3 linked regions of the Sus scrofa genome follow. The protein of the gene in region 1 purifies or fractionates together with the protein of each later gene. This does not show direct contact. Links are inferred from orthologs where the notes say so. Each region holds a gene or a part of one and is shown in the gene's direction. Other genes may lie near its edges. The genes, in order: LSM4, PATL1 and PRMT5.

Region 1 (9,785 bases):
CTCTTCTCCACAGAGGAATTCCTTTGTATTTCAGATTAAACCCGCAAAAAGGAGTTCCCATCGTGGTGCAGCAGAAACGAATCCGACTAGGAACCATGAGGTTTCGGGTTCGATCCCGTGAGCTGTGGCGTAGGTGGCAGAAGCGGCTCGGATCTGGCGTCGCTGTGGCTCTGGTGTAGCCAGATAGCTCGTATAGCTCCGATTGGACCCCTAGCCTGGCAGCCTCCACAAGCCGCGGGTGCGGCCCTAAAGTGACGAAAAGACAAAAACAAAACAAACAAAAAACCTGGCAAAGAACTTATTCCAGAAGATCAGTTGTGATGGCACAGGACCTTCACTACCGCACTTTTAAAAACCTCTGTGGAAAGCGCTCTTCTCCTCCTAGACCTCCCAAGGGATAGGGATAGTCTAATGGCCCTCGGTTGGTCACGTGTTCCCCTTTAACCAATCACTATGCCCAAGTGGGTGGAGAACTCCGAACTTCAACTCCGGAGTTGAAAGAGCTAACTCAAACTGCAGTAATCGCAGTCTGCCACACGGGGTCACCCAAGCAGAGTTTTAAAGGATGATCCCTTGCGCAAAAGGAGAAAGACTGCACATAGAAAAGTCTAGAAAAGTCACAAAGATGTGAACCGACATGCGATTTTCTTCCTACTTCTACCAGCGTGTTGTTGCTGGAGCACTTCATGTATCCCAGTTTCTATTGTTTACATCACAACGGCCTTTACCTGCGGCAAACAATACTTGGCTAGTCACCTCAACCCAGTTGGCATATCCAGCGTTCTGCACACTTTCCAGACCTCACCAGCAACCCTGGGAGCATCCTCAAGCCAATGATGAAGGCGGAAATAAACACTGCCCTGACCCTGGGTGGGGCCTCTATGAGACACAAGCTCTTATGTTGATTCCCGACGGTCCACAGCTGTACTAACCCTCAGTTGCCCACTTTGTCACCTGCTCATCAATGTCCACTGCAGAGCTCCTTCCCTCCCTATCTCAGGTATCCATTCCCAATGGGGGCTTCTGGTGTTTTCCCCCTGCATACTCTATGTGTCTGTGAGTCCTCATCTCAGGGTCAGCTTCTGGGGGAGGGCAGATCCCATTTTAAGACATGAAGGACAGGGGAGTTCCCGTCGTGGCTCAGTGGTTAACGAATCCGACTAGGAACTATGAGGTTGAGGGTTTGATCCCTGGCCTTGCTCAGTGGGTTAAGGATCTGGCGTTGCCATGAGCTGTGGTGGGGGTCGCAGACGCAGCTTGGATCCTGAGTTGCTGTGGCTGTGGTGTAGGCCGGCAGCTACAGCTCCGATTCAACCCCTAGCCTGTGAACCTCCATATGCGTGGGTGTGGCCCTAGAAAAAGGCAAAAAAGACAAAAAAAAAAAAAGACATGAAGGACAACTGTTGGTTCAGGGCTATCAGGTGCTTCACACTTTATATGGGTTTCACATTTGATCACTCCACACAGTAACCTCGATTGGCAGAGATGATTACAGACAGTCCTCAATTTAAGATGGTTTGACATTAGCGTTTTCGACTTCACAATGTGTGAAAGCATTCAGTAGAAATTGAACTTTGAATTTTTTTTTTTTTTTTTTTTTTTTGGCTTTTTAGGGCTGCAGTTGCGGCGTATAGAGGTTCCCAGGCCAGGGGTCTAATCGGAGCTGCAGCCGCCGGCCTACGCCAGAGCCACAGCAATGCGGGATCCGAGCCGCGTATGCAACCTACACCACAGCTCACGGCAACGCCGGATCCTTAACTCACTGAGGAAGGCCAGGGATCGAACCCTCAACCTCATGGTTCCTAGTTGGACTCGTTAACCACTGCGCCATGACGGGAACTCCCTGAACTTTTAATTTTGATCCCTTCCCAAGCTAGTGATATGTAGTAAGGTACTTTCTCATAATGCTCAGCAGTAGCAGCGAGCCTCAGCTCCCAGTCAGTCATATGCTCACAATGGTAAAGAAGGGATACACTTATAACTGTTCTTTTACTTTCAGTACGGTATTCAATAAATCACATAAGCTATTCAACACTTTATTATAAAATAGTTTTGGAGTTCCTGTCGTGGCTCAGTGGTTAACAAATCTGTCTAGGAACCATGAGGTTGTGGGTTCGATCCCTGCCCTCGTTCAGTGGTTTAAGGATCTGGCGTTGCTGTGAGCTGTGGTGTAGGTTGCAGACGCGGCTTGGATCCTGTGTTGCTGTGGCTCTGGCGTAGGCCCGTGGCTGCAGCTCCAATTCGACCCCTAGCCTGGGAACCTCCATATGCCGCGGGAGCAGCTCAAGAAAAGGCAAAAAGACAAAAAATAAAATAAATAAATAAATAAAATAGTTTCATGTTTGATCTTGCTCAACTGCAGGCTAATGTTCCAACAGAACATCGATAACAGAGATCAGTTCTAACCCCCATATCTGTGAATATGGCCTTATTGGAAATAAAGTCTTTGTCGATATAATTAAGGATCTCAAGATGAAATTTAACCTGAGTTTAGGAAGGGCCTAATACGAGAAAGGAATGCCTTCATAAAAAAAGAGGAAGAGGAGTTCCCGTCGTGGCGCAGTGGTTAACGAATCCGACTAGCAACCATGAGGTTGCGGGTTCAGTCCCTGCTCCTGCTCAGTGGGTTGACGATCCGGCGTTGCCGTGAGCTGTGGTGTAGGTTGCAGACGCGGCTCGGATCCCGCGTTGCTGTGGCTCTGGCGTAGGCTGGTGGCTACAGCTCCGATTCAACCCCTAGCCTGGGAAACTCCATATGCCGCGGGAGCGGCCCAAGAAATAGCAAAAAGACAAAAAAAAAAAAAAAAAAAAAAGAGGAAGAGTTGAGACACAGAGACACACAAAGAAAAGCACCATGTGATGACAGAGGAATCTGTGCCAAGAACTACAAGGATTGCTGGCAGAGAAGCATGGGATGAATTGCCCCTCAGATCCTTCAGAAAGAACCAACTCTGCTAAAACTTTGATTTCAGTCTTTCGGATTAAGTTTTACTGTTTAAAACCACCCAGTTTGGAGTTCCTGTTGTTGCTCAGCAGTAAGGAACCGGACTAGGTATCCATGAGGACTCAGGTTCAATCCCTGGCCTCAATCAGTGGGTTAAGGAAGCTGCGGTGTAGGCCACAAATGCTGCTCAGATCCTGCATTGCCATGGCTATGGTGTAGGCAACTGTAGCTCCATCCAATTCGACCCCTAGCTTGGGAACGTTCATATGCCATGGGTGAGGACCTAAAAAGCAAAAAATATTCAAATAAAAATAAAAAAATAAAACCACCCAGTTTGATCATTTGTTATGGCAGCCCAAGGAAACTAATACATTTGTCTATTTTGTTTACAGTCTGCCTCCCCAGTGGGCTCCTAAACCTCAGGAGGGCCAGGAGTTTTGTTTGGTTTATTCTCTTCTGTGTTTCCAGGAGGAGGCCCGTAGTAGATGCTCAATAAATATTTATTGCATGTCCGTGTATCAAGTGCTCAGTACGTGCCGGGCACTCTTCTTTTACAAGGCATAAATCACTTGGCACTCATTGCAACCTTCTAAAGCAGACACTATTATTAAGCCCATTTCAAAGGGAAGCAAACTGAGGTTCACACCGGTACGTCTAGCCTATCAAAAGAAGTGCCCTGGACAACGGTCAACTACAATAAAGAGAATCAGAAGAGTAGGAGCTCGAAGGGACACATGGCAATAACCATAGAGCTGCCATTCCTCCATTTGGAAATTGGAGGCACTACCCCGTTTTGCCCACAGCGTGGAGCCCGGAAAAATCACTGAAGATTGCACCTGCGCAGGCGCCCTTACCCACAAGGCCTCCTGCGCCGGCGCACATTGCTCCGCCCCCTTTTGCAGCACTCATAGCGGCACTTTACGACTCTCTCTCTCATTTCTCCGGTAGGAACGCGGCCCGCCCCGCCCCTCGTGTTTAATAGGCCCCGCCTTACTCCGCGTGGATTGGTTGGCCTTCCCATGAGCCTCGTGCTGACTGGCTCGCGTTGCTGCCACTCCATTTCAGCCTAGTGGCGCGCAGAGCTGCAGCTACCGGCGGGAACGTGAGCGGCGGCGGCGGCGGAAGTAGCCCACGAGCCTAGTCCCCGCCGACACCATGGTGAGGGCGGTGCGACGGGGGAGCCGGCCGCCAAGGGCCCTCGGGGCGGTTGTTGGTTCAGGGGCGTTGTGGAGCCAGCCTGTAATCTGGGCCTTGAGTCCTGCCCCTTCGCCCAAGGTGGGGAGGACAGGCCGGAGAGTGGAAGAGCTTCTCCCAGGACACCAAGCACGTCGGTCTCGGGGGAGCTTGGGATTGGATAGAAATGAAATCACAGTATGGCAGTCTGGCAGCAGTCTTCCCATTTTGCAGATGGGGAAACTGAGGCCAGAGAGGAAGGGGACCTGCTGAAGGGCCCGGTGAATGCAGCAGAGTGAGTTTTCGGACGGGGAAATGGCTCCCAGTGCATCCGACCCGATCTGACCTCCTAGACAGTAAAGCTAGAGCACCAGGCAGTAGGGGGCCGGCCTTCTTTCTCAAATTCAGCCAATCTGGGGAATTTCGGGGGTTGTACTGCCCTTGGAATGCTAGCTGCGCAACCTCTTATGCCTCTCCTTTTCAGACTAAAAAGCAGACCCAAAGCAAGGTTAACTTCTTCCGGGGTCACACAGCATATGGTTCCAGGGGAAGGGGGGGCGTTTTCAGCCATGGATGGGCTAACCGTATCCCAGTTTAGAAAACAAAAAAATCGAGGCCCTGGCAGGAAGTCTCCCCAGGGCCATGCCATCTCACAAGTTGTGGAAATTGGAGATCTAAACCAGCGTGCCTGTGTCCCCAGTGAGTGACAGACAGGGAAATGGAGGCCCACACAGAGGAATTGAGCTGGGAGAGAACCTGGCCCATCAGCCCTCGAGTCCTCTAAGATGGTCGCTGCACATTTTTCGGAGCTGACCATGAGGGTTCAGTAATTCTTCTGGTCATTGTAGGGATGGAGAGAAGGGAGCAGCTTCGTTCTCTCTGTTCGTCTCTCTGGAGGGTAGAGTTGGTCTGTGGAAGAATCCATTTGTTAAGCTCCATGGAGATAGGATCTCTGTTTTATCCTCATATATTGCCAGAGCCTAGAACAGTGTCTGTGCAAAGTCTGTGTTCAGGAGTGGCTAAGGCATTACACACTGCCTGTTCCTTGTGGTCGGGGTGGGGCGGAAGCCAAGCCAAGGTCTGGGTGAGGGAGTGGGTGATCAGCAGCTTCCTGAGTTGGGAACCTCAGGACACCATTAAATCCAGTTGTGGAAGTTTCCATTGTGGCACAGCAGAAACGAATCCGAGTAATAACCATGAGGTTGGGGGTTTGATCCCAGGTCTTGCTTAGTGGATTAAGGATCCAGTGTTGCTGTGAGCTGTGGTGTAAGCTGCACACGTGGATCAGATCCCATGTGGCTGTGGCGCAGGCTGGTGGCTGTACCTCCAATTCGACCCCTAGCCTGGGAACCTCCATATGCCATGGGTGCGGCCCTAAAAAGCAAATAAATAAATGTATTTAGGTGTGGATGGACCTAGACCTGAGGGCCAGACCCCAGATGTTCTGAGAAAGGCTAGAGAAAAGAATTCTCTTCCCTGAAGCTTTTTATGACTCCAAATTCCACACAGCCCTTGCTCCCCCCTGAACTGGGTGATCTGCCCTCTCCTGTATCCCTGGCACCTTCATGCTTTCCCCCACCCCAGCATACCCCTCGCTTTCAAGTTCACCAGGTTCCTCCTCTTCCTTTGGCCTTTGTCTCCAACAGCGTTTGGGAACAAGGAAGTAGATATGACCACTGCTGCGGTTGTTGAAGTCTTGGAGGGCTGTCCCAATGCCACCTTTCCCTACCTGAGCTTCTCCTTTTCCTTGTCTTGTGAGGTGTGGCAAGTATTCCCCACCCCACCCCACCCCTGTCACCACCCCCTGCCTGGAGTGCCTCCCTGGGTGGTATGTGCTATATTTGTCAGCAAATATTTACTGAGTCCCTTGCATGTGCCTGGCCCAGTGTTCAGCACTGGACAAAGTCCACACCCTCTGAATTTTCCAGTCTAGCAAGAGGCTTGGTGTTTCCAGTCTAGCCAGGGAGACGTAATAAATAAACAAGTTAATTAGAGACTGGCTATACCCTATAATAGAAGCAGAGGGTGGCCCAGGTGGAAACCTCATTCCCTTGATGGGGTTATAATGAGGGGCTGGCTGAAGCAGAAGTCACCAGCCTGGGGGAGGGCACCCCAGGTAGAGGGAACCAAGGAACAAAGTTTGACCAATAGCACCAGGCGTGGTGTGAAGAAGTGAGCGGGCCAGTTTGCTAGAGCCGTGTCAGGCCTGGCTCTGTGGCTAGCCAAGGGAGCGGGTGTGCAGGGGAGGGTGTGAGCAGGTGCTGGTTCCATCTGTGTCGCTGCCGTCCTCTGAGGTCACACTGCTGGCAACAGCTGCAAAGGCTGTGGGTCCTCCAGGGGTGTGCTACTCGTAGCTGGGACAGGATGGTAGCCTGAGAGAGACAGCCTGAAGGCAAGGTATGCCATAAAAGGACATCTGTGGGTCTTCTGCTAACAGGCATTAATCTGCTTTCCCCGGCTTTACCCAGACCTTGCTCTGTATCCTTGGGTGTCCCTCCTAGCTGCTGGTACCTCATCTAGAGGGGCCTTGGCTGTGCTACTCCTACTCCCTCCACCTCTCCACACAGTCCATTTTCATTCTCACCTTCCAGGACAGGGGCTGGCCTGGCCCTGTCCCCGTCTCCGGTGATCTGGGAGGAGGACTCAAGTGTGTCATTGCTCTGGTCCTGATTCCCGTTGTGGATACAGCAAACAGGCTTGTCCAGGAAAACCCTGAGCTTCTCTATAATAGAATACCACCTGGCTCTGTGGCTCCCTCATGCATATCTGAGCCTCCTGTTCTTTCTCCACAGCTTGCTGTGCTCAGGCAGCATCAGACAGATGTGTTCCTTTTTCTTTTTTCCTTTTTAGGCCCACACCTGCAGCATATGGAAGTTCCCAGGCTAGGGGTGGAATTGGAGCTGCAGCTGTCGGCCCATACCACAGCCACAGCCACACGGGATTAGAGCTACGTCTGTGACCTATACCATAGCTCACTTCAACGCCGGATCCTTAACCCACTGAGCAGCGCCAGGGATCGAACCCACATCTTCATGGATACTGGTTGGATTTGTTTTCACTGTGCCACAACAGGAACTCCAGACAGATGCATTCCAGAGGAGGGGGCAGGGGCTGCATGTTGCCTGTGTTGGGACCCCCAGCTGCCTTCTAGGACCAGCCACCTCTCCTCCACCTCTCCTCCACGTGGCACCTTCCTCCTCTTTATCTTGCCCCTCCAGGAAGCCAGTGCAGGAAGTGGGCTTGGGCCCAGCTTCCTGCCACTGCTGGATCTCCCCCAGGTGGCTCTTCTCAGAGAAGGCCTGTGGGATGTGGCATCCGCCACCCCCACCCCAAGCCCTTCCATAGGGAGCCGTCCTCTGGGGGTGGAGGGCCTCTTCACAGAGAGGCCTTACGGTCCCCACCACCTGGAGAAGTGGCTGCCTCCTATTGGGAGTGTGAAGGGTGGGCTGGAGCTCTCCTGCAAAGAACTCTGGGGGGTCAGGCCAACTTAGAATTCCCAAGTCACTAGGGCAAGGTGTCATCCTCCCTGAGACACTGTCCCATATTGTGGGGCCCTTGGTCTAGAACCTTCACCTGGCCCTACTGGATAGGCTGTCATTGGACCCTGGACCCAGGCACTCCCATCCAAGTCACCCTTCTGGAGACCCAGAGACAGGGTCTAGCGTGTGGGTTGTGATTTGCATTCCCAGAATGAAAAGAGCCGATTTCTTTCCCAGTTACACTATATGTTCTAAAAAAAGAAATTTGGGGAGTTCCCACTGTGGCTCAGTGGTTAATGAATGCAACTAGAAACCATGAGATTGCGGGTTCCACCCCTGGCCTTGCTCAGTGGGTTAAGGATCCTGCATTGCTGTGAACTGTGATGTTGATCGCAGACACGGCTTGGATCTGGCATTGCTGTGGCTCTGGCGCAGGCCAGTGGCTACAGCTCCAATTGGACCCCTAGCCTGGGAACTTCCATATGTCGCGGATGCGGCCCTAGAAAAGACAAAAAAAAAAAAAGAAAAGAAAAGAAATTCAGGACTCCCATGTTCCAGCAGGTTAAGAATCTGGCGTTGCCTCTGCCCTCTGCTGTGGCTCTGGTTACATCTGTGGCATGGATTTGATTCCTGGCCCAGGAATTTCTGCATGCTGCGAGTAGATCAAAAAAATAAAATAAAATCAGTAATAATGGAAAAAGAACTATCTTGAAGGTTCACCTTATCTGGGTGGGTTTTTAAATTCCATCCTTTTGTCTCCTGGCCCTTGCGGTAACCACAGACTTTTTCTGAAATGTTTCTTCCTCTCACCTGCTCAATTTCTCTCTCTGAACGGGGGCTCAGACGTGGCCTCCTCAGATCACGTGGACTCCCAGTTGCATTGTGCCTAGCCCATTCACTCTTGGTTCAGTCAGGGCTGTCCCCACCCCCACCTCAGATGTGGGCCTAGCATGAACTGGCTGCTGACTGTTGGGGGTCAAGCCAAGCTCAGTTTCTGAGCCGCAATATCCCCATCCATGAAGTGGGTGTGATGATAACCACCTACAATGCTGAAAACAAAAGGGCTAGCTAGAGTTGTATGTATTAACATGGATACATCTCAGAAATGTCAAAAAACAAGCAACAGCAGGACCTGTGTGCTGTGATGCTGCTGATAAGCACAGAGGGCTGGTGCTATCAGAGGTGTGAGTATCTGCAGCTACAAAGAAATGTCCAGAATGGTCAGTACCAAGACCAGAGGGCAGCTGCCTCTGAGATTGGCAGGGAGGGGGTCTGAGACTTTTCTGTCCTAACTGTGTGTGTCCTGGAGTTGGGCAGAGTTTGGAAAAGGCATTTCTGTCGTGGGGTGCGTGCTCCTGCGCCCCTAATATTGGGACTGGAGTCTCGGCCCTGCCTGGGTGGGGGGGCCCACAGCACTAATGAAACAGACAAGTCATGTGTTTGTGTTCGCCTTTCAGCTTCCCTTGTCGCTGCTGAAAACAGCTCAGAATCACCCAATGGTGAGTACATACTGGTCTGGGATGGAGAGTTTCAGTGGGGACACTGGACAAAGGGTCAGGTGCCTCTAGCCAAACCCGCTTCCTCCCTGTCCACAGAGTAGCAGCTTGTCCTGTTCTCCTTCCCATGCATGTCAGGACCTGGGTTATTTCTGCTGCTGATCAAAGTAATACAGGCTTATTAAAAAGCTCAAATATGGTGTTCTCTCATGGTTTAGTGGGTTAAGGATCTGGTGTTGTCACTGCTGTGGATCTGGTCACTGCTGTGGCACGGGTTTGATCCCTGGCCTGGCAACTTCCACGGGCTGCAGGCATGGCCAAAAATTTTTAACATAGTGGAGTTCCCATCGTGGCTCAGTGGTTAACGAATCTGACTGGGAACCATGAGGTTGCAGGATCGATCCCTGGCCTCGCTCAGTGGGTTAAGGATCCGGCATTGCTGTGAGCTGTGGTGTAGGTCGCTGACATGACTCAGATCCCATGTTGCTGTGGCTGTGGTGTAGGCTGGCGGCTACAACTCCAATTTGACCCCTAGCCTGGGAACCTCCATATGCTGCGGCAGCAGCCCAAGAAATGGCAAAAAGACCAAAAAAAAAAAAAAAAAAAAAAAAAAAAACAAACACTAGAGATTCATAGACAGTAAAAGCCCCTCTCCATTAATCTTCCTATCAGTTTAACTTTGATATATACACA
Region 2 (9,749 bases), about 48 Mb from region 1:
TGAGTAACAAACTACTCCAAAATTTTGTGGTTTAAAACCACAGTCATTTTATTTTAACACCACAGCTTTATGGATGAGGTTTTTGGGAAAGGCTCAGTTGAGAGAGTATTTGCTCCATGTGGTGCTGAATGGGGTGACTCGATGATATTCAGCTGGCAGCTGAACTGGTCTGGAGAGCCCAAGACAGCTTCATCCACATGTCTTGTGTGGCTGGTAAACTGGATCCAGCTGGACCCGTCTCCCTCTCCATGTAGTGCCAAGGCCTTTTCATGTGACCGCTTCAGCAAGACAAGTGGGCATCTAACATGGACTTACATTGTCAGTCTTCTTAAAGACTAGACACAGCTGACATTGCATCGCCTCCCCAGCACTCCACGGGTCTATCACAGTCCAGGCCAGATTCAAGGAATGGTGGAAACAGAAAACACCTCTTCAGAGAGGACAAAGACTCTGTGGCCTTGTTTACAAGTTTTGCATTATATTTTAATTTCTATTATATTGCTAAGCCTTTTGTCCTAAAATCTGCTGCACCAAGGGTTCCTCCCTGTAACTTTCTAGGACATTTGTTACAACCTTGTAGACTACATGAGAAATGACCCTCTGGGCAGCCCACCACTCTTTTCCCCACCTCTTTATAACCTTTGCAAGCACCCGAGGACAATGTTTAAAAGCAACCATTCTCAAAGCCTAGTCCTAGAACCAACAGCATCAGCATCACCTGGGAACTTCATATAAATGCAATTTTTAGGTCCCATTGCAGACCTGCTGAATCAGAAAATCTGGGGAGTGGGGTGGCCCAGGAGTCTGGTTTTTGTTTTTCTTTCTTGTTTATGGCAGCACCTGTGGCATATGGATGTTCTCAGGCTAGGGGTCGGATCAGAGCTGCAGCTACATGCCCACACCACAGCCATGGCCACCAGATAAGAGACTCGTCTTTGATCCATGCTGCAGCTTGCAGCAATGCCACAGCCTAACCCAGAGTGAAACTAAGGATCAAACCCACACCCTCACAGAGACAGCATTAGGTCCTTAACAAAGAGCCCCAAGGGGAACTCCCAGGAGTCTATTTTAACAAGCCCTCCTGGTGAAGCTGTTGTATAACACTTGTTGTACATTACTTGATGAAAATTAATACATCATCTGAAACTAGGCTCACAAAAAGTACATTTTGTTCCTTTACCATGATCTAAGAAATAGGATGTATAGAATCTGTAAATACCGCAGTGGATTTTTTTTACAACCTTTGGAAAAAGGATGGCAAGGCCAGAGAAAGCATGATAGCGATGCTAATTGATGTCGCCTCTCAACTGTCAATCGCCTTTTCCACCTAGCTGGTGTGCAGGAGAGACTTTTCTTCCACTCACTCAAGAGACACTCTCCAAAGGCCTCATATCTTATTTCGAAAGAATTACTTGTGAAAAGAATTTTTACCCTCTCCATCTTAATAATGGGCCTACACAGCTCAAGAAAATACATTTGCCTAAAGTGGCCCTCATTCATCTCCCTCAAAGACAGCTGTTGCATGAGAAAAACATAATTTTATCGACCATCTCTATCTTGTTTTCTGTTTCTTTCATTTCTGCTCTTTACTATTTCCTTATTTATCCTTTCTTTGACATCATCCTATAGTTCATTTACATTCAGGCTTTCCTATTCTCTCATAGAAACTGCTTTAGCTGTATCTCAAGTCTTTATACGTTAATAAGTTTATCTACTTTCCACTATGTTTTCTCAAGCAGTCCATTAATTAGAAGTGTGGAGTTTTTTAAAATGTTCTGATGTCTGGAGTTCTCATTGTGGCACAGTAGGTTAAGTATCCAGTGTTGTATTTGAGGTGGCTCCAATCGCTGCTGAGGCACAATTTCCATTCCCTGCCTGGTGCAGATCCAGTTAAAGATCTGGTGTTGCCACAGCTGTGGCAAAGGTCACACCTGTGGCTTGGATTTGATCCCTGGCCCGGGAACTTCATTTGCCACCAGTGCAGCCAAAAAAAAAAAAAAAAAAAAAAAAAAATTCTGACATAATGATCAGAAAACTTGATCTGCAACATCTAGAATCAGCAAACTCTTTCCGTAAAGGGCCAGAGTAATTATTTCAGGCTTTGCTAGCCAAATAGCCTCCATTGAAAGTATTCAATTATGCCTTTGTTGCCCCAAAGCAACTAAAGACAATATGTAAATAAATGAAGATGGCCGTCTTCCCACAAAACTTTACTTTGAAAAAAAAAGGCAGCTAAGCAGATTTGGCTGTGGGTCACACTTTCCCAACCTTTGGTCTATATGGCACCAATTCTCACTGTTAAGAAGTGCCCCTACCTAATACATGAACTTTTGTAGTGTTCTATGCGTGCTTAAAAGTTATCATCTTATCCCCAGCCTGCTCCACTTTAACATTTAGGTCTGTCCCATGTAAATATCCTCTTTTGTTAAACTGTCACAATGATTAAGAGACTGGGTTTCTGGAATGAGAGACCTGGTTGCCGCTTGCCATTGAGTGGTTTAGGATAAACTGCTTAACATCTCTAATCCTCAAATTCCTCATCTATGGAGAAAATAATACCACCTACCTCACCGGATTGGCATAAGGCAGACTTCAACCATCAGTAGAAGTACTACTGGAATCATCATGCCATTGAACCACTACTTTGTGAGGCAGGTATCATTAATCCCGTTTTCCAAAGAAATTAAGGCTCAGACACGTTTAGGTAACTTGCCCCAAATCTGACGGCCCAGTGGCAAAGCACTGATTCCCACCCAGAACTTCTATTTCCAAATCCAAGTTTCCACTACTCAGGCTCTGATTAATCCGGTCATACCACCACGTAAGGAATTTACTCTATGCCACTCCCAGGCGAGGCTGCACTTTAAGACACCGGAGAAAGGAGTTGCGAAACTGCACAAGAATTCGTGGTGCAAGGACTAAATTTCGTAGCCAAGTTTAGTCTTCAAGGGGAAAGAGTGAGTTCGGCTAGCGGAGATAACAGTTCTCCAAAGAGACTTCTGAAAACAGGCTGCCAAGGCACCTGGACAAATGCTTTTCTGGTCCTGATCCTCTAAGGAGGTGGTGTCACCCTACGGCGCACTCAGCCTCGATGACCTTGCTGCCCACGGCTGTGCTGCCTTTTTTGGCTCCCTCACTCCACACGCTTGATGTGCCTGAGCCCTAAAAATACCTCCCTGGTTGAACCTCCCTAATAAGCCTTCGGTTTAAAGAAAAGAGGAAAAAAAAGCCTTCATCTCTGAGACACATAAATCACAGCCCTGACCTGCTGTTGACTCAGCGGGTGACGTGCCGCTGAAAGTGGCGACGAACTCAGCCCCTTTCGATGACCTGAACTTTAACTTTTTTCCCCTCCACTCGGTGCCTATCGTATGTCGTGAAGACCGCCAAGCAACCCGAAGACGGTGTTGGACGCTGGAAAAAGTGCCCAGGAATGTCCATTTCTCCCAGCCTAAGCTAAGCCTGGGACTCTCCAAAGCCATATCCTGTGACAATCACAAGGCTTTTCTCCGCCCCGTCGGTGACGGAAAACTCGTGACTCGAACCTCAGCGTCGGGCGGGCGCAGAGAAGCCGGGGGCGGAGCTACAGGTTCGGATCGCGAGGAAGCCCCCGACGGGTGGCGCGTGCGCAGTCTCTCGCCACGGGACCTCCTTCCCGCCGCCGAGACTAGGAAGCGGGACGCCAAATCTGTCCCCGCGCAGCCGCCGCCGCCGGGCGCGGAGCGGGGCGGCCGCCCTCCCCGAGGCGCGCCTGCGCACGTTCCCACGCACGCTCCGGCGTACGGCGGCGGCCAGGGGTCGCGAGCCGGTGGAGGACCCGCGCGCGGAGGAGCCCGGAGAGTCAGCGCTTCTTCCCTCCCTCCCCCATTCCCCTCCCCGCTCCCTCCCCCCCCTCCCCAAGAATGTTCCGCTACGAGGTGAGCTGTTGCGACCGGAAGTGACCCCTCCCTCCCGCCGGCACGCGCCCCCCTCTCTGTTTCTCTCACGCTCAGCGCGTCGGTCCGCGCCCCTCGGGGGGAAAAGGGGGGGCGGAGGGGCCGGCAGGACCGAGCAGAGTGTGTGGGCTCTGGGGTCGCGGGTTTAGTCCAAGGGCTGTGAGCTGGCTTCGTGGGGGCGGGACTGTCCTATCAGTTGCTACTGAGGAGAGTTGACCTCTGTTTGGGGGTGGGGAGGGCCCGTTAAGTGCGGTAACCAACCACCCCCCACCCCACCGTACCCCCGGTGGGGCTCGGCATTGAGAGCCTTGCACCCACCCGGTGGCACTTAAGGCTTAAGGAAGAGCCACAGGGTAAAGCCCAGGGACGCATTTCCCGCCTAAGACCCAGAACTATCATCTCGCATTAATTACACATAGCCCCTTACTCGCAGGCAACCGTCAGGTCACCCGGGCCTGCACTTGCCCTTTGACTGGGGCGGAAGACTGTTTACTGATGAGAGCTCCGAGTGGGGAAGGGGCGTGTCCAGCAGAAGTTTTTTCTGGGCGAATGGAGGGAAACTGGGGGTTCGTGATGGTCCCTGGAATACAGCAACAGAGTTATGACGCTACCACTGAGTCTCTGTATGACCTTTAGCGACTGCTAATCACTAGACAGAGTTTCTGGATTTGTAGAAAGGGTGGGTCTAGACGATCCCTTTCCAACCTAAAAAGCAGTGATTCGGTGAAGTAGATCTTTGTGATTTGGGAATGCTTCTGGAAGTTGCCTCTGATGTGGATGCAGTTGCACATGCTTGCTTTGTCTAAGTTTGGAAGGACCTAAGATGGCCCTTTGGCCTAACGTTTCTTTTGGGAACAGCCTAGCTGAGAAATAGCCGGCAAGGTGTTATCACAAATGTGCCTGCCAGAGAGTGTGGAATTCTGATTCTGAGTATTTGAAAATTGGGGCTGTGTATTCTTGCTATTTGATGGGAATGGCTCGAGATCAAACTGACTATATGTAAACATGGAGAGACATGCTGAGATGTGGTGGGGCAAAGTTCCCCAAAGAAAAGAAAACTTGGAAAAATAAATGAAATGGGGGGGGGAGTGTTTAAAGTAGAACATACCCAAGTGATATCTAGCATTGTTTAACAATACACAATGTTTGCTTCAATCTTTTTCTCCTTTGATCCTCACTACTTGCTGAGGCAGGTGGTGGTGTCCTTGTATTACCACCTAAGAGATTGTGGCTTAGAGCCTTAATACAGGCTGAGACACAGTAGGTGCTCAGGAGGTATTGAATGAATTCATCAGAACGGCTGTGATTTGCCCAAGTTGATATCACTTGTCAGAGTTGAGACAGAACTTAAACTTGCCACATCCCGGCCTTTCAAGAGTTTACTTAATTGTGATTGAAATCTTAGCTTTCTGTTTTATCACCAGTTTTGGGCCTGTAGAAAGAAGGAAGAGGAAAAATGATGAGAAAGCTTCAAAAGGGAATAATAAAAGGGTTGAAAAGATGACATGAATATGGGGAAGATAAGAATTTCATTGAAAAATAGATGTAAAACTCTAGCAAAATGTAAAGTGTTTGCTTTCATTTGTCATTATTGTAACCAGTGATGGAAAGGAAGTTACAGGCCTAATTTCTTGGTTGCATGAGGAAATGCTATTATTAGATTCTTGCTGAAAAGAGAAATGGAAATTTGGGGGAAGAGGTTAAATGAAATAAGGAATAGGAAAGAGAAGCTGAAAGAAACGATTTGCAAATCTTCCAATGTCGGGAAAATTGGGGGATGGAAAAAAATGCCATCTGTACAAAAAGTCATAATGAAGCTATTGTGTTGATTGGGAAGGTAAGAACATTTTTAGAACATTTTTTAAGTGAGGTTGTGAACTTCACGAATTATCAGTCTCTCTCTCTCTCTTAAAGTCTTTGGAGGATTGTCCTCTGGATGAAGATGAAGATGCGTTTCAGGGGCTGGGAGAGGAAGATGAAGAGATTGATCAATTCAATGATGATACATTTGGGTCAGGTGCAGTTGGTAAGCGATATTAAGTACTTTTGTCTTCCTCTGGTCTCTTTTTGCCTCACTTAGAAAATCTGGTGTTTTCTAAGCCTTGTCTTTTCCAGCTTTATGATCTATCGTTCTAAGTTGACACTATAAGAAATTCAAATGGTTAGACAAGTGGACATTTTATAAAGGCTTAAAATAATCCTAGAAGAAGGACTTTTTTTTTTTTTTTGGTCTTTTTAGGACCGCACCTGTGGCACATGGAGGTTCCCAGGCTAGAGGTCGAATTGGAGCTATAGCTGCCAGCCTACGCTACAACCATGGCAACACAGGAACCAAGCCACGTCTGTGACCCACACCACAGCTCATGGCAACACTGGATAGAGAAGGAAGTTTTTTGTTTTTTTTGTTTTTTTTCATGAAACACGTAACTTAAGGAAAACTAGTGCATTAGGAGAAAACTAAGATTCATATATGTATGTTTGAAAATTTTTATATGGCCTGACCCTGCTTTTGTCCTATAGTAAGTATATTTAATTACATATTTTATTCCAGGAATTTGGTAGTAAGAGGTCTTTGTAAGTTAGAAAGGTGTTGTGCAAAAATGAAATTTTCTGGAGTTCCCATCGTGGCGCAGTGGTTAACGAATCCGACTAGGAACCATGAGGTTGCAGGTTCGGTCCCTGCCCTTGCTCAGTGGGTTAACGATCCGGCGTTGCCGTGAGCTGTGGTGTAGGTTGCAGACGCGGCTCGGATCCCAAGTTGCTGTGGCTCTGGCGTAGGCCAGTGGCTACAGCTCCGATTCAACCCCTAGCATGGGAATCTCCATATGCCTCGGGAGCAGCCCAAGAAATAGCAACAACAAAAGACAAAAAAAAAAAAAAAAAATGAAATTTTCTCAGCCCTGGGTATAGATAAATATTCTAGGAGTTGGAAAAGATCAAAAAACTAAAAAACCAAAGTCAGCTAGAGGCCACAGGCTTATAATTACTGAAATGGGAGATTCAGGGAGCAAGCTTGTATGATAAAGTTTGAGAATTAGAGACCCTAGAGCAAGTATGCTAATAAGTTAAAATTAAATTGTACTTTGGAAAGAAGATAAGAATCAATGCAGATATCTCCGCTTTGACTAATGGTGTTGAAAAGCAGCAACGACTTCATTTATGTTGGGATGTGTGAATGTGGGATTTCTTTGCACTTCTATCTAAGCAACAGATATTCAAAGTTAAGTAATAAGAAGAGGAAATTTATCAGTCGTGGGTAATCCTAAAATGTTGAATATCCAAAACAAATAAAGGGTCTTAAAAATGTTTTGGTTACTGGTTTTTCAGTGAAATAAACAGCTTAAATTTATTAAAGCTTAGAATGAGTTGAGTGAACTGGCGAAAATGAAAAAGTATACTCTCTTCAATCAGGGTTTACAAAATTCACTGGAGAACTAAAACTGCTGCTATTGGGAGCAGCTAGAGAAGCCTTTAAGTTAGAAAGCTGGGCTCTGTGGAAGAGGGCACCGAAGACCTTTTGGATTTCAGCCATAGTTTGGGGATGAGATCGTCCAAGAAGACGACGTGATCTAAGATGCTGTTCTCTCTCCATGGAGATCACAGCGAAGGGGGCGGATGGAGACTAGAATTACAAAAGCAGGGAACTGATGTGAATTGCAAATTGTACATGAAACTTTAGTAAAAACCTATAGAATACAATAGAAGCTATGGACAGTGTGTGCTTATATCTGGAACTTTTTCTCTTAAAATATTGAACTTAATGTTACCATTTTTTAGCAAATTCGCTTATATTAAAATGAAATACATTATGAAGTTCCCTTGTGGTGCAGCAGGTTAAGGATCTGGTGGTGTCACTGCAGCTATTTGGGTTGCTGCTGTGGTACAGGTTCAATCCCTGGCCTGGGAACTTCTGCATACCACAGATGTGGCCAAAAAAAAAAGAATGAAGATATACTGTTAGCATAGTAAATGTCCTCTCTTTTGAACATGGATAGGAGAGGAATAGTTTCACCTTCTCACTGATTTCTAGGGTGTTGTGGACAGTCTCTTGTTACTGTTGTTTTTCTGAGTTTATATTTCTCGCAGGATAGGGAAAGTACTGCCTTAAAAGAATTTTAAAGTGTGCAAAACAATATTTTATATGATGGAAGAGAGAAGTACACACATTGAAAAAGCCCTTAGGGTTACACAGGAAAAGAACAGATGGTAAAAAGTAAAGGCAGTGAAGTAGCATATGATTAGCCCATTTTGCACCCTGAGGCACAAGGATGATTAAGGTCTTCTTGGTCAACAAAGTTTATAATGGCAAAAAGAATTCCACATGTGAGCCCTTACCTTTGAGAGTATAATATACTTGAATTGTAAAGTTAAACTCTTGTTTCTCGTAACATCTTAATATAAATAATATACAGCTTTATAAAAAGAAAATTCTAAAAATTCCTTTCTTAGCGACCTGTGATTTGTTTAATATACCTCTACAGGTGGATATAGAGCTGGTATAGAGAATTTAAACCGGGAAGTAAAATGTCAGACCTATGACATACATTTTGGCCTGATGGTTTTTTTTAACTCAAGGAGTGTCTTGAATAATACCTGTTGGTGCGGTAGTTATTTTAAGTCTCTGGCTACGGATGCTCTGATGTCACCTTTCCTTAAGAAACCAGTCACTGTCTTCTGTGTGGAAAAATGTTTGTATCATCTTTGAGCAATAAATGGGCCACAGTATTCTCAACTGATTCTCTAAAAATAAAAGCTTACACTTACAAGGTGCTTATTCTATGCTAAGGACCATTCTAAATGTTTTACATATATCATTAATCCTTACAGTAGCCTTGTGAGTTAGATACTATTATTATCCTCATTTTAGCAAACGAAGGAAGGTGCCAAAGAGGTTAAGTAACCATAAATACAGTCACTGTAGACCACCAGTTATTTTAAACAGTCTTTGTGGAGTCTTTAGGACTCTCCTGCCTCCACATGGAAGGGCTGCAGCTGTCAAGCACCCAAGTCCTAAGTACTAGACCACAGGGGAGCTCCCTCTACTTCCTTTTTATTGATAGCTGCTAAAATCTTTAGGGACTGAGATTGCGCTAAAATTAAATCACCTCTACTTCCTTTCCATTTTGTTTTTATTTAAAAATATCCCTTAGACAGACTTGAGGGAACTACCACAAGTTTAAGTTTATAAAAGCAACCAGGAATTCAGTAACCCACATCAGGGTATAGGTTAATTGGCTGAAGGAAAACAGGCATCTCTTTCCCTTCATTTCTCTTATTTTTTTCCCTGCCCGTTATCATTTTGACCAGGGTGGAGCAGGGTCAGGCACTAGCATATCCTCTTTCTCCTTTCTTTAAATGAGGTCTATGGAGAAATTGTATGGGGAGAATGTCATTAAGGAGACTTTCAGAATTCTTTGTTTCTATGTTGGTTATAAAGGGAATTTTATGTTCTTTCTGTGTTCGATTTTGTAGGACATAGAAAGCAAAACTAAAATAATAAAATTACATGGGTTTTGGTGCATGTTTAGAACAGGTAAAGGTAGGATTAAAGTGAAAAGATTATTTAGGGAAAGCTTCAGTGAGGAGGGAAAGGTATCTGTATTTGAATGCTGACAGGAGCAAAATAGTAGAGCTTTTATGATGGAGGCAGAATGGAATGGCGATTGGTAAGGATGAGAGCCCTGGAATGAGAGAAGTGATGGGATAAAAGTCTGGTTCTAGGGAGTTCCCATGGTGACTCAGTGGTATGGGACCTGAGTAATATCCATAAGTATGCGGGTTCTATCCCTGCCTCTCTCAGTGACTTAAAGGATC
Region 3 (9,909 bases), on another chromosome or scaffold:
TAGGTATATTCTGGGTTCATAAACAAATCGGGTAGTTTTCCATCTTTTTCTATGTTCCAGAACAGTTTCTACTTTCAATTCATTTTGACAGATAAATACTGTATAATAGAGATGACAAGGAAGAGAATGCAAATTGGCACAGATTATTTTGCCTCAGTAACTCTGCCACTTTTGTAGCTCGAGGACAGCCTTGATTGTGAAGAAGCAATTTGGAGCAGTAGGAGGGTCAAACGGGCCATTATTTTGGTGTTGAAGAGTGCGGCTGGCTGGGCAGGCACAGAGGTGAGTGAAGGTGATGCTGGGGAGGGAGGCAAGTGCTGAGGGAGGAGGGGAGCCCAAGAAAAGGTGAAAGGAGGGTTTAAAATGGACTGGCAGTGTTGAAACAAGGACATACAACCAGGAGCAGGTAGAACAACTGGGTCTGAAGGTGAGGAATGCTGGGTGTGGGTACTCCTTTCCTTCCAGAAAAGTTTCCAATGCTCCGCCCTGTTGGTCACCAGCTTTTGTTGGAGAAAATAACATTATTTCTTACCCATCATCTCCCTGTCTTCATCTCAGCAAAGGCCTGCATTCTATAATATAACAGTGATGGACATACTTTGGAGCACAAGAGTTCAGCATGAAGAGCAGAGCGGAGAGAAACAGAGCATAAGACAGACTCTACCGACTCTGGCTTTATGTCTAGGGCTAAGTCCTACAACAGGTTCTTTATTTCTTTTTCAGTCCTTCCCTCTGCTCGTCTGTAGCTCATATAGACAGACCCACAGTCCATGCTGTTCTTTAAGGCAAAGGAACATGCAATAGGACAGGTAGGGTGTGATGTGGTATGGAATTTCTCTGTTCAGCATCACGCTTGCCACACAGCGGAGGCAATTTTGAATGAAAAAACAAAGACATCCCAGACAAATGAAATTCAGCCCATCCAAACTTATTTTAAAGTCAGTTAGAAATTCTAGGCTCTTTTTACACAAATTCTTTTGAAAATTATTTTACTGATGGCAAAACTGACATTACCATTTCATAGATTTTCTTCTCTCCCTTTCATCCATGGATGGGTTAGTTAACAACCAACAGAGCAGCCACCAGCTTGACATTAGGAGGAAGATGCCAGGAGCACAGATGGTCCACAGCCCAGATAATTAGCTTCTGAAGACGAAACAACATCTAATAAGTCTTCTGTGAATGTGGAGTTTGGTTGGGCACAGTTGGGGGAGAGAAAAAGCAGGCCTGCCCAACAACTCTTTTTCTTCTTAAAATGTCAGAAGAGCACTCACCCACTTCCTGTTAAGTCCCTACTCATGAGACCTGCAGGGAAGAATTCAAATAAATATCGTAGACATTCCACCTCAAAGGAGGGGAAGAATAACTCCGCACTCCTTACGTGTGGAATGCACATAATGACTTCCAAAGAGTACAGGATGGAAAGGGGGAAGGCATGTAATTTTCCACTGGAGAGAACTGATAAACACTAGTTCTACCAGGTGATAAAGGTCAACATCAATAGTCATAAATCATGTTGATGGTATGTATTCTTGATATGACATGATGAAAATGGCACTTGAGCTCTGTGATCTTCCTCTCCCAAAACCATAACCTGAGTCTGATCATGAGAAAACCATCAGACAAATTCCAATAGAGGGCTGTCTTGCAGTAAACCTGACCAATACTACTCAAAACAATTAAGGTTGTCAAAAACAAGGAACATTTGGCAGTTCCTGCTGTGGCACATCAGAAACAAATCCAACTAGTATCCATGAGGATGCATGTTCAAACCCTAGCCTTGCCCACTGGGTTGGGGATTTGCCGTTGCCCTGAGCTGTGGTGTAGGATGCAGCTGGGGTTCAGATCCCGTGTTGCTGAGGCTGTGGCGTAGGCCAGCAGCTGTAGCTTCGATTCATCCCCTAGCCTGGGAGCTCCCATATGCCATGGGTGCGCTCCTAAAAAGCAAAAAACAAGGAACATTTGAGAAACTGTCATAGCCAAGAGGAGCCTAAGCAGACATGAGCAGATATGACAACTATATGTAACATGGTACCCTGGATGGGATCATGGAACAGAAAGAAGACATTAGGTAAAAATTAGGGAAATCTGAATAAACTATGGACTTCAGTTAATAATTATCAATAATAACATATCAAGAGTTCCCTGGTGGCTCAGCAGGTAAATGTACCATATTAACGTTAAGATGTTAATAATAGAGAAAGATGGGGGGGTGGAATGTGAGAACTCCTGTACTATCTCTGCAATTTTTCTGCAAATCTAAAACTTTTAAGAAAAAGTCTAGGAGGTGCCACTGTGGTACAGTGGGTTAAGAATCCAACTGCAGCGGTTCTGGTCACTTCAGAGGCATGGGCTGGATACCTGGCCTGGGAGGGAACTTCCATATACCTTTTTTTTTTTTTTTTTTTCCCATTAAAAAAGGAAAGAAAAAAAAGACAAATTCTAGTAATAGTAAGATGAGACACAAGCACCTCCAACTCTTTTAGGCTTCATAGGCATTTTCGTAGTTCTCTGACTTTCTGACTTTCATCCTTTTGGGGCGCTTACAATGTATTCCCTTATAGCTTAGCCTATCCACACACATTCCGTGTTTCTCAGGACTCTGTCGTCCACTGCGGCGATCTCATTCGGTCTCCTGGCTTCAGTCACTATCTCTCTTCTGGCGATTTGCAAATCTTGTCTGGTTCAGATCACTGTTCATACAACTCTCTATTACACAGCGCCCCCTAGACGTCCAAGTCAGCATTTCCAAACCCCAGCCTCGATTCTCCCTAAACCAGCTTTTATCATTTGTCTCGCTCAAAGAGGCCAGAACTCTGGGCATCACCCCCAGACTTCCCTTTCTCAGACTCCCTGTCAGTCGGTCTCTAAATTCTGTCAAGGCCTCCTGCCTAGGGCCTTTTGTATTGATTCTCTTTTCCGTTCCCCGCTGCCAAGTCCGCAACACCTCTGGGCTTCCTGCCTTCAGGTATTTCTCCTGCCTAGATCTTTTTTTGCTTCATTCCTTTCCTTCTTTTCCATCCCTCTAGCAAGCATGGAAAAGAAAAATGTAGAGACTCTTTCCTGTCTCTGCCAGTCAATTCATAACTTCTCTCCACTGTAATCTCTCACCATGAATTCCTTTATCTTCAGTGGTGTGTGTGTTTCAGTGTTTGCTTTTTGTATTTGAGATACCGAATCACAAGGAATTTGTGGCTGAATTGCCACAATCTGTTTAAAAATATACTAAGGCCCATTCAAAATCCATTTTAAGAGCACCAGCCATTAACTCAGTTTTCTTGGTGCATTTGGATGCACCAAGGCAGGGACACAAGAACCATCTTTGAACTAGGTATTATTAAACGCTGGCATGAAATAGTTGCAGAATGCAATAACATTAAGACCTGAAAATGAGAGCGAGAGAGGACAGCGAAGAAATTTTAAAAGGGGGCATTAAAGCATTGCAGGGGATGCACCAAAAGCGTTAGCCCCACCGAGCCAGCCAGGAGTCGAACCTGGAATCTTCTGATCCGTAGTCAGACGCGTTATCCATTGCGCCACTGGCCCTGAGACGACTTCTTCGTTCTCAATGATGACACTTCAAGCTTATACTGCAGGGTTTCATGGGACGTGTAGTCTCTTACCGGAATTTTACCAGTACATGAAGCATTATGGGAGATCGAAGTTTGTCGAGAACCAGACCCTGAGATTGGTGACTCTTCCGGAGCCGTGCCCTACGTCACTGTGCAGCCTGCGGATTGGCAGGAAGAGCCACTTCCCACCCCTCCTCCACTTGCTCGGGACCCTGGGAGACGCTTTGGTTGTCAGGGAGACTCGTCCCGCCTTCCGGGGGCTTTTTTTCGGCTTTGTGATTGGCTGCCAGTGTCAGGGAATCTCGGCGTGGACTGCGCGAGGGAAAAGATGGCGGCGATGGCGGTCGGCGGTGCCGGTGGAAGCCGCGTGTCCAGCGGGAGGGACCTGAATTGCGTCCCCGAAATAGCTGACACACTGGGGGCTGTGGCCAAGCAGGGGTGAGGGCCTGGACTTCCGCGAACAGAATGCGGGGTCGGAACTCGGGGACTGAGAGGGGCAGACCAGTCATCCCTGGGAAGCAGGGGTGAGGGGGTCGGAGTGGATAAGATTAGGGTGGGAGAAACCGCTAGTCCATGTAGGGAGAAGCCTCCGGCCCTGGAGCGTAAGAGAAAGAGAAAGAAAGACATATTGGGAACGTGTGGTCCCTGAACCCCAAAGTCGAGAGAGTTATCAGGTAAACTCAAAAAGAGGGCGTACGACCTCAAGGGCCCTGGAGAGCGAGGTGCGAGGTTCTTGTCTCAGAGTGGGAGGAAGTGTTATGGGGCTAGGGAGAGGAGAGATGAACCTTGAGGGCTGAAGCCTGGGTAGTACTGGAGCAGATCTGGATATGACAGTCTTGGAAAATCAGTGACAACAGAGTAGAAAGTCCACGTGGCGTGGATTTTCATCTTTTCTCTTTTCTCATCTTTTCCATGGCTCTGTTCTGGGAAGAAATTGAGGCACAACGCAGTGGAAGTGATATTCCCTAAAATGGGCCGAATTCAGCAGCCCATTCGAGTGACTGACTAATGGCAGCTGAAAGGGTTGTGCAGAATGGAGATAGCCTAGTCCAATTGCTTGGATCGCTGGGCACTGCTACTCTCTTTACATGACGATTCTGGGTCTGTCGTGGTTGTAGGTTTGATTTCCTCTGCATGCCTGTCTTCCACCCGCGTTTCAAGAGGGAGTTCACTCAGGAACCTGCTAAGAATCGGCCGGGTCCCCAGACACGATCAGACCTACTGCTGTCAGGAAGGGGTAGGGACCATCCCACATGCCCCTTAATTATTAGAGGCAGTAACAACTTATGTTTTATCAGTGCCTTCTTCCTCTTCCTTTCTTGACCTGGATGTATTTGTTCAACCCTGGGATATGGATAACTCTTGTTCTCTCCTTGCTTACTGCTCAAAGCCTTAGTTTCCTATTCTGCATCAGGCTTTCCTGTATCTGTGATAGAAAAAGCCTTTTGTCTCTCATCTCTACTATTCCCTGTTAAGAAATAGAAATTGAATGCATAAAGTGCTGAACCTCACTCAGTCTTTGTCTTTCTTGGGTTGGGGAGTGCAGACTGGAATACACTAATTGTGGGCAAGCTTTCCCCATGGATTCGTCCAGACTCAAAAGTGGAGAAGATCCGCAGGAACTCTGAGGCGGTAAGACTGACATCTTCACCGAATCTTTCTAAAGATCAGATCTGTAAACAACCTGGATGGGGAGAACAGATTTTTCCCCTCCATAACTTAGTAAATCTGATGTAATGCACTTAAAGCTGTTTGAGGAGTTCCCCTTGTGGCTTAGTGGTTAATGAATCAAACTAGCATCCAGTGGGGGAAAAAACTGTAACTGCAATGTATACATCTAAGGATGACCTGACCCCCTTGCTGTACAGTGGGAAAATAAAAAAAAAAAAAAAAAAAAAAAACTAGCATCCATGAGGATGAGGACAAGGGTTCAGTCCCTGGCCTTGCTCAGCGGGTTAAGGATCCGGCATTGCCGTGAGCTGTGGTGTAGGTTGCAGACATGGCTCAGGTCCTGAGTTGCTGTGGCTGTGGCGTAGGCCGGCGGCTTCAGCTCTGATTGGACCCCCAGCCTGGAAACCTCCATATGCCGTGGGTGCAGCCCTAAAGAGACAAAAAAAAAAAAAAAAAAAAGGTTGTTTGAGTTGCTAGCTCTTAACTTTGCCTCTTGTTCTCCATTCTAGGCTATGTTACAGGAGCTGAATTTTGGGGCCTATTTGGGTCTTCCAGCTTTCCTGCTGCCCCTAAATCAGGAAGATAACACAAACTTGGCAAGAGTTTTGACTAATCACATCCACACTGGCCACCACTCCTCCATGGTATGGCTGAGGGCCTCCTTTCCTGCTGCACATTATGGTAGTCAGGCTGTGCTAAATATCTTCTTTTCCTAGCCATTCAGTAAAGGGTGCATTAGGCAGAATTTAAATGTCAGTCCTGCCTACCCACAACTAAAAGTGGTAAGCAGAGACTTATAAAATACATAGCATATTCTATTATCTCCAGAAACTTATAATAAAGTAAAAGACAGGGCAGATACTTACATAAGGATGTACACGAGATACGTGTGCACATACATAAAATCACAATTGGGAAAAGCATGTAAGGGGATTAAGTTGAAATCTAGATCAAGATCTTTTTATTTATTTATGTTTAAGCTTTTTTTTTTGTCTTTTCAGGGCTGCACCTGTGGCACATGGAGGTTCCCAGGCTAGGAGTCAAATCAGAGCTGTAGCTGCCGGCCTACACCATAGCCACAGCAACGCCACATCTGAGCCGTGTCTGCGACCTACACCACAGCTCATGGCAACATCAGGTCCTTAACCCACTGAGGGAGGCCAGGGATCAAACCCACAATCTTAGCTCTTAGTGGTTCTTAGTCGGATTCGTTTCCCCTGTGCCATGACAGGAACTCCTGGATCAAGATCTTTTTAATTGAAAGAAGCTTCTGGACCCAATGAGTTCAAAATAGAGTTCTAAATAGGGCAGAGAGGTGTTTTCTTGTGGCGCAGTGGGTTAAGAATCTGGTGTTGTCGCTGTTGCGGCTTGGGTTATTGCTGTGGTGGGGTTTGATCCCCAGCCTGGACACTTCCACATGCCAAGGGCACGGCCAAAAATAAATTAATTAATTAATTAAGGTACAGAAGCTATTTATTGTTCATGTGCAGTTCTGGATGCGGGTGCCATTGGTGGCACCAGAGGACCTAAGAGATGATATAATCGAGAATGCACCAGCATCACACACAGAGGAGTACAGCGGAGAGGAGAAGACGTGGATGTGGTATGTCTCCTTCTGCTGCTGTGCCAGGGCAAAGGGTAGGGTGAGAGGAAGTACAGGGTGGGCCCTGCAGGAGGGTCTCCTTGAGGTATGGTGGTTGGTGGGCTATATATATTTGACTGTATTTTCCTGTGTTTGACTGAACAGGTGGCACAACTTCCGAACCTTGTGTGACTATAGCAAAAGGATTGCGGTGGGTAAGTCCATGAAGGTCCTGGCATAGGTTGTCCTTTGACCTTCTGTGATGAAGAATCGGGAATTTCGTGTATATGTGCTTGCTCCTTTCCCTGTGCCTCAGTCTGCCTTGTCTTGAGAAAAATAGATCTTGCACAAAAGAGCAAGGAGAGACTTCTGGCTTATCAGTGACTGACAGATATTTTCCCTTGTGTAGCTCTTGAAATTGGTGCTGACCTTCCATCTAATCATGTCATTGATCGTTGGCTTGGGGAGCCCATCAAAGCAGCCATTCTCCCCACCAGCATTTTCCTGACCAATAAGAAGGGATTTCCTGTTCTTTCTAAGATGCATCAGAGGCTGATCTTCCGACTCCTCAAGGTGTGTAGTAGAAAGGTTCTAAACGTGCTCCAGCTACTCTTCTTGCTGCCTTATTCACACATATATGTATGATGGATTTTTTTTTTTTTCTCTCTCTGTGGGGCTAACTCTTTTCCTTTCTAATTTCTGGAGAGCAATTTCAGCAAAGTTGGGGGTCTTGAGAGCAAAAAGACAAATAGCAGTAGGAGGCCCAGAAATATTTCAAAAGGAACCAGGTCTCATGAGAACTTTGCAGAAAGTTTCATTTAAGAAGTTACAACAAGGAGCCATGGGCCAGGATGATGCTTATGTGGCATAGGAGGGTTTGTGCTGCTTTTGTTGTTATTTGGAGGTATTTGTTGGACCAGAGAACTGCTGATCTGGGCCATATTTTATGCTAGAGCTCTTCGCCCACAAACCATAATAATATCCTCTTGGTTTAAAGATTGTGTCTGATGGTCTGACTTATCCTCGCAGTTGGAGGTGCAGTTCATCATTACAGGCACCAACCACCACTCAGAGAAGGAGTTCTGCTCCTACCTCCAATACTTAGAATACTTGAGCCAGAACCGACCTCCACCCAATGCCTACGAACTCTTTGCCAAGGGCTATGAAGACTACCTGCAGTCCCCACTCCAGGTGGGTCTGGAGTGCACTGAGAGGAGGGAGGTGGCGGACGGAAATGTCTCCTGAGAGCAGGTGCCTGAAAATCCTGACAAAGCTCAGGGAGCAGTGGGAAGGCTTTGGTACTCTGGTGCACTGTCCTTGCTAGAAACTGGCTCACTTACTTTCTCTTTTTCATTTCATCAGCCACTGATGGATAATCTGGAATCTCAAACATATGAAGTGTTTGAAAAGGACCCCATCAAATACTCTCAATACCAGCAGGTATAGTGTGGATCTCAGATTGGCTAGGATGACCTGGGTGAGGATGGCATTACAACCATGAGGTCTTTTCTCTTCCCCCAGGCCATCTATAAATGTCTATTAGACCGAGTGCCAGAGGAGGAGAAGGACACCAACGTCCAGTGAGTGCTCTCCCCATGAGCCCAGAGCTTTGCATGCCTGTGTCTCTATATGCCGAGTCAGCTTGACTCCTGTCTCTTTCATAGAGTGCTCATGGTGCTGGGAGCGGGCCGGGGGCCCCTGGTGAATGCCTCCCTGCGGGCAGCCAAGCAGGCTGACCGGCGGATAAAGCTGTACGCTGTGGAGAAGAACCCAAATGCTGTGGTGACGTGAGTAGCAACCTCCTTGTTGGCAAGTTTGTCCCCAGTGCCAGTTTTTCTTAGCTGTGTCCTCACTTGTATCATCTCTGTTTTAGGCTGGAGAATTGGCAGTTTGAAGAATGGGGAAGCCAGGTGACAGTAGTCTCCTCGGACATGCGGGAATGGGTGGCTCCAGAGAAAGCAGATATCATTGTCAGTGAGCTTCTGGGGTCCTTCGCTGACAATGAGCTGTCACCCGAGTGCCTGGATGGAGCCCAGCACTTCTTAAAAGGTGCCTCTAGGCTGGGGTGTATTGCATAAGGGGACTGGATTATCAGCTGGGAAGGTGGGAGCGGGTTGGGGAGGGATGGGTGTGGCAGTAGCCTAGAGGAAGCTGCAAGGTTTAGGGGAAGCGGGGAAGGCGGGTAGACTTGGGGCAGGAGCCTTAGCAAATGAAGCAGTCTCTCTGAACCTAGGTGTTCACGTCTGTAAGATGAGGGGAGGACCAGAGCAAAGACTCAATCTGAGGTCTGTGAACTCCCTGAGCTGACATGATATGTACCTTGGGCTTAGCTTTCATCAGGATCTCAGAGGACTTTGTATTAAGAGAGTTAAGAACCTCTAGACTAGAAGACCTTGGGTTCCTTCCAACTTTACTCTTGTGTGACTATAAATTAACCTAGAAGTGGAATCCCCCAGGACAAGGAGTAGGGAGCAGGTCGGCCTGAGAATGTGACAACACGAAACTGCTTGAGTCTTTTGATGTGGGAGGTCTGGGCCTTCACTGAGTACAGATACACTGTTTCTAGCCCTTGGGAAGTAATGTGACCTTCTGCTCTGCAGATGATGGCGTGAGCATCCCTGGGGAATACACCTCCTTTCTAGCTCCCATCTCCTCCTCCAAGTTGTACAATGAGGTTCGAGCCTGTCGGGAAAAAGACCGTGACCCTGAGGTGAGGCCACTCTCTTCTTCTTCTTCTTCTTTTTTTTTTTTTTGGCCATACCTGCGGCATGCAGAAGTTTTCAGGCCAGGGATCAAAACGAAGCCACAGCGGTGACATTGCTAGATCCTTAATCCACTGAGCCAACAGGGAGCCATTCTCTCTTGGAGGACTCTTCTCTCTTTAGTCCCTTTCTTTTTCTATATTAGCATAACTGTTTTCTTCCACTGGAGAAGATGAAGAGGTGAAGGAATAGTCGGGGATGTGGGAAAATAGTGGAAGTGGAACTATGTTGTGATCTTTAGTCCCCGAAGCTGGAGCTGTAGTCCCTGAGGTAATGAGTAGCCCTTGCCTGTCTTCTCCAGCTCTTGCTCTCTCTCTTGGGA

Evidence for each region.
Region 2: the proteins of LSM4 (region 1) and PATL1 purify together in Homo sapiens (co-immunoprecipitation; 4 studies listed by BioGRID and IntAct, with this or other methods). This does not show direct contact. The link is inferred for Sus scrofa from reciprocal best matches to the Homo sapiens genes LSM4 and PATL1.
Region 3: the proteins of LSM4 (region 1) and PRMT5 purify together in Homo sapiens (co-immunoprecipitation; 3 studies listed by BioGRID and IntAct, with this or other methods). This does not show direct contact. The link is inferred for Sus scrofa from reciprocal best matches to the Homo sapiens genes LSM4 and PRMT5.

Annotation. Positions count from the first base shown.
Region 1 is NC_010444.4:59,495,577-59,505,361, forward strand, and holds the start of LSM4 (U6 snRNA-associated Sm-like protein LSm4), read left to right. Parts: upstream 1-3,983; 5' UTR 3,984-4,099; coding exon 4,100-4,102; intron 4,103-4,351; exon of another isoform or gene 4,352-4,412; intron 4,413-6,074; exon of another isoform or gene 6,075-6,514; intron 6,515-9,053; coding exon 9,054-9,095; intron 9,096-9,785. UniProt on the Homo sapiens protein: Plays a role in pre-mRNA splicing as component of the U4/U6-U5 tri-snRNP complex that is involved in spliceosome assembly, and as component of the precatalytic spliceosome (spliceosome B complex).
Region 2 is NC_010444.4:11,824,099-11,833,847, forward strand, and holds the start of PATL1 (protein PAT1 homolog 1), read left to right. Parts: upstream 1-3,996; 5' UTR 3,997-5,712; coding exon 5,713-5,772; intron 5,773-5,849; coding exon 5,850-5,961; intron 5,962-9,749. UniProt on the Homo sapiens protein: RNA-binding protein involved in deadenylation-dependent decapping of mRNAs, leading to the degradation of mRNAs. Acts as a scaffold protein that connects deadenylation and decapping machinery.
Region 3 is NC_010449.5:76,107,110-76,117,018, forward strand, and holds the start of PRMT5 (protein arginine N-methyltransferase 5), read left to right. Parts: upstream 1-3,895; 5' UTR 3,896-3,900; coding exon 3,901-4,010; exon of another isoform or gene 4,011-4,246; intron 4,247-4,690; coding exon 4,691-4,809; intron 4,810-5,118; coding exon 5,119-5,204; intron 5,205-5,752; coding exon 5,753-5,887; intron 5,888-6,733; coding exon 6,734-6,846; intron 6,847-6,990; coding exon 6,991-7,040; intron 7,041-7,234; coding exon 7,235-7,398; intron 7,399-7,854; coding exon 7,855-8,016; intron 8,017-8,187; coding exon 8,188-8,265; intron 8,266-8,346; coding exon 8,347-8,405; intron 8,406-8,489; coding exon 8,490-8,612; intron 8,613-8,698; coding exon 8,699-8,874; intron 8,875-9,425; coding exon 9,426-9,535; intron 9,536-9,909. UniProt on the Homo sapiens protein: Arginine methyltransferase that can both catalyze the formation of omega-N monomethylarginine (MMA) and symmetrical dimethylarginine (sDMA), with a preference for the formation of MMA.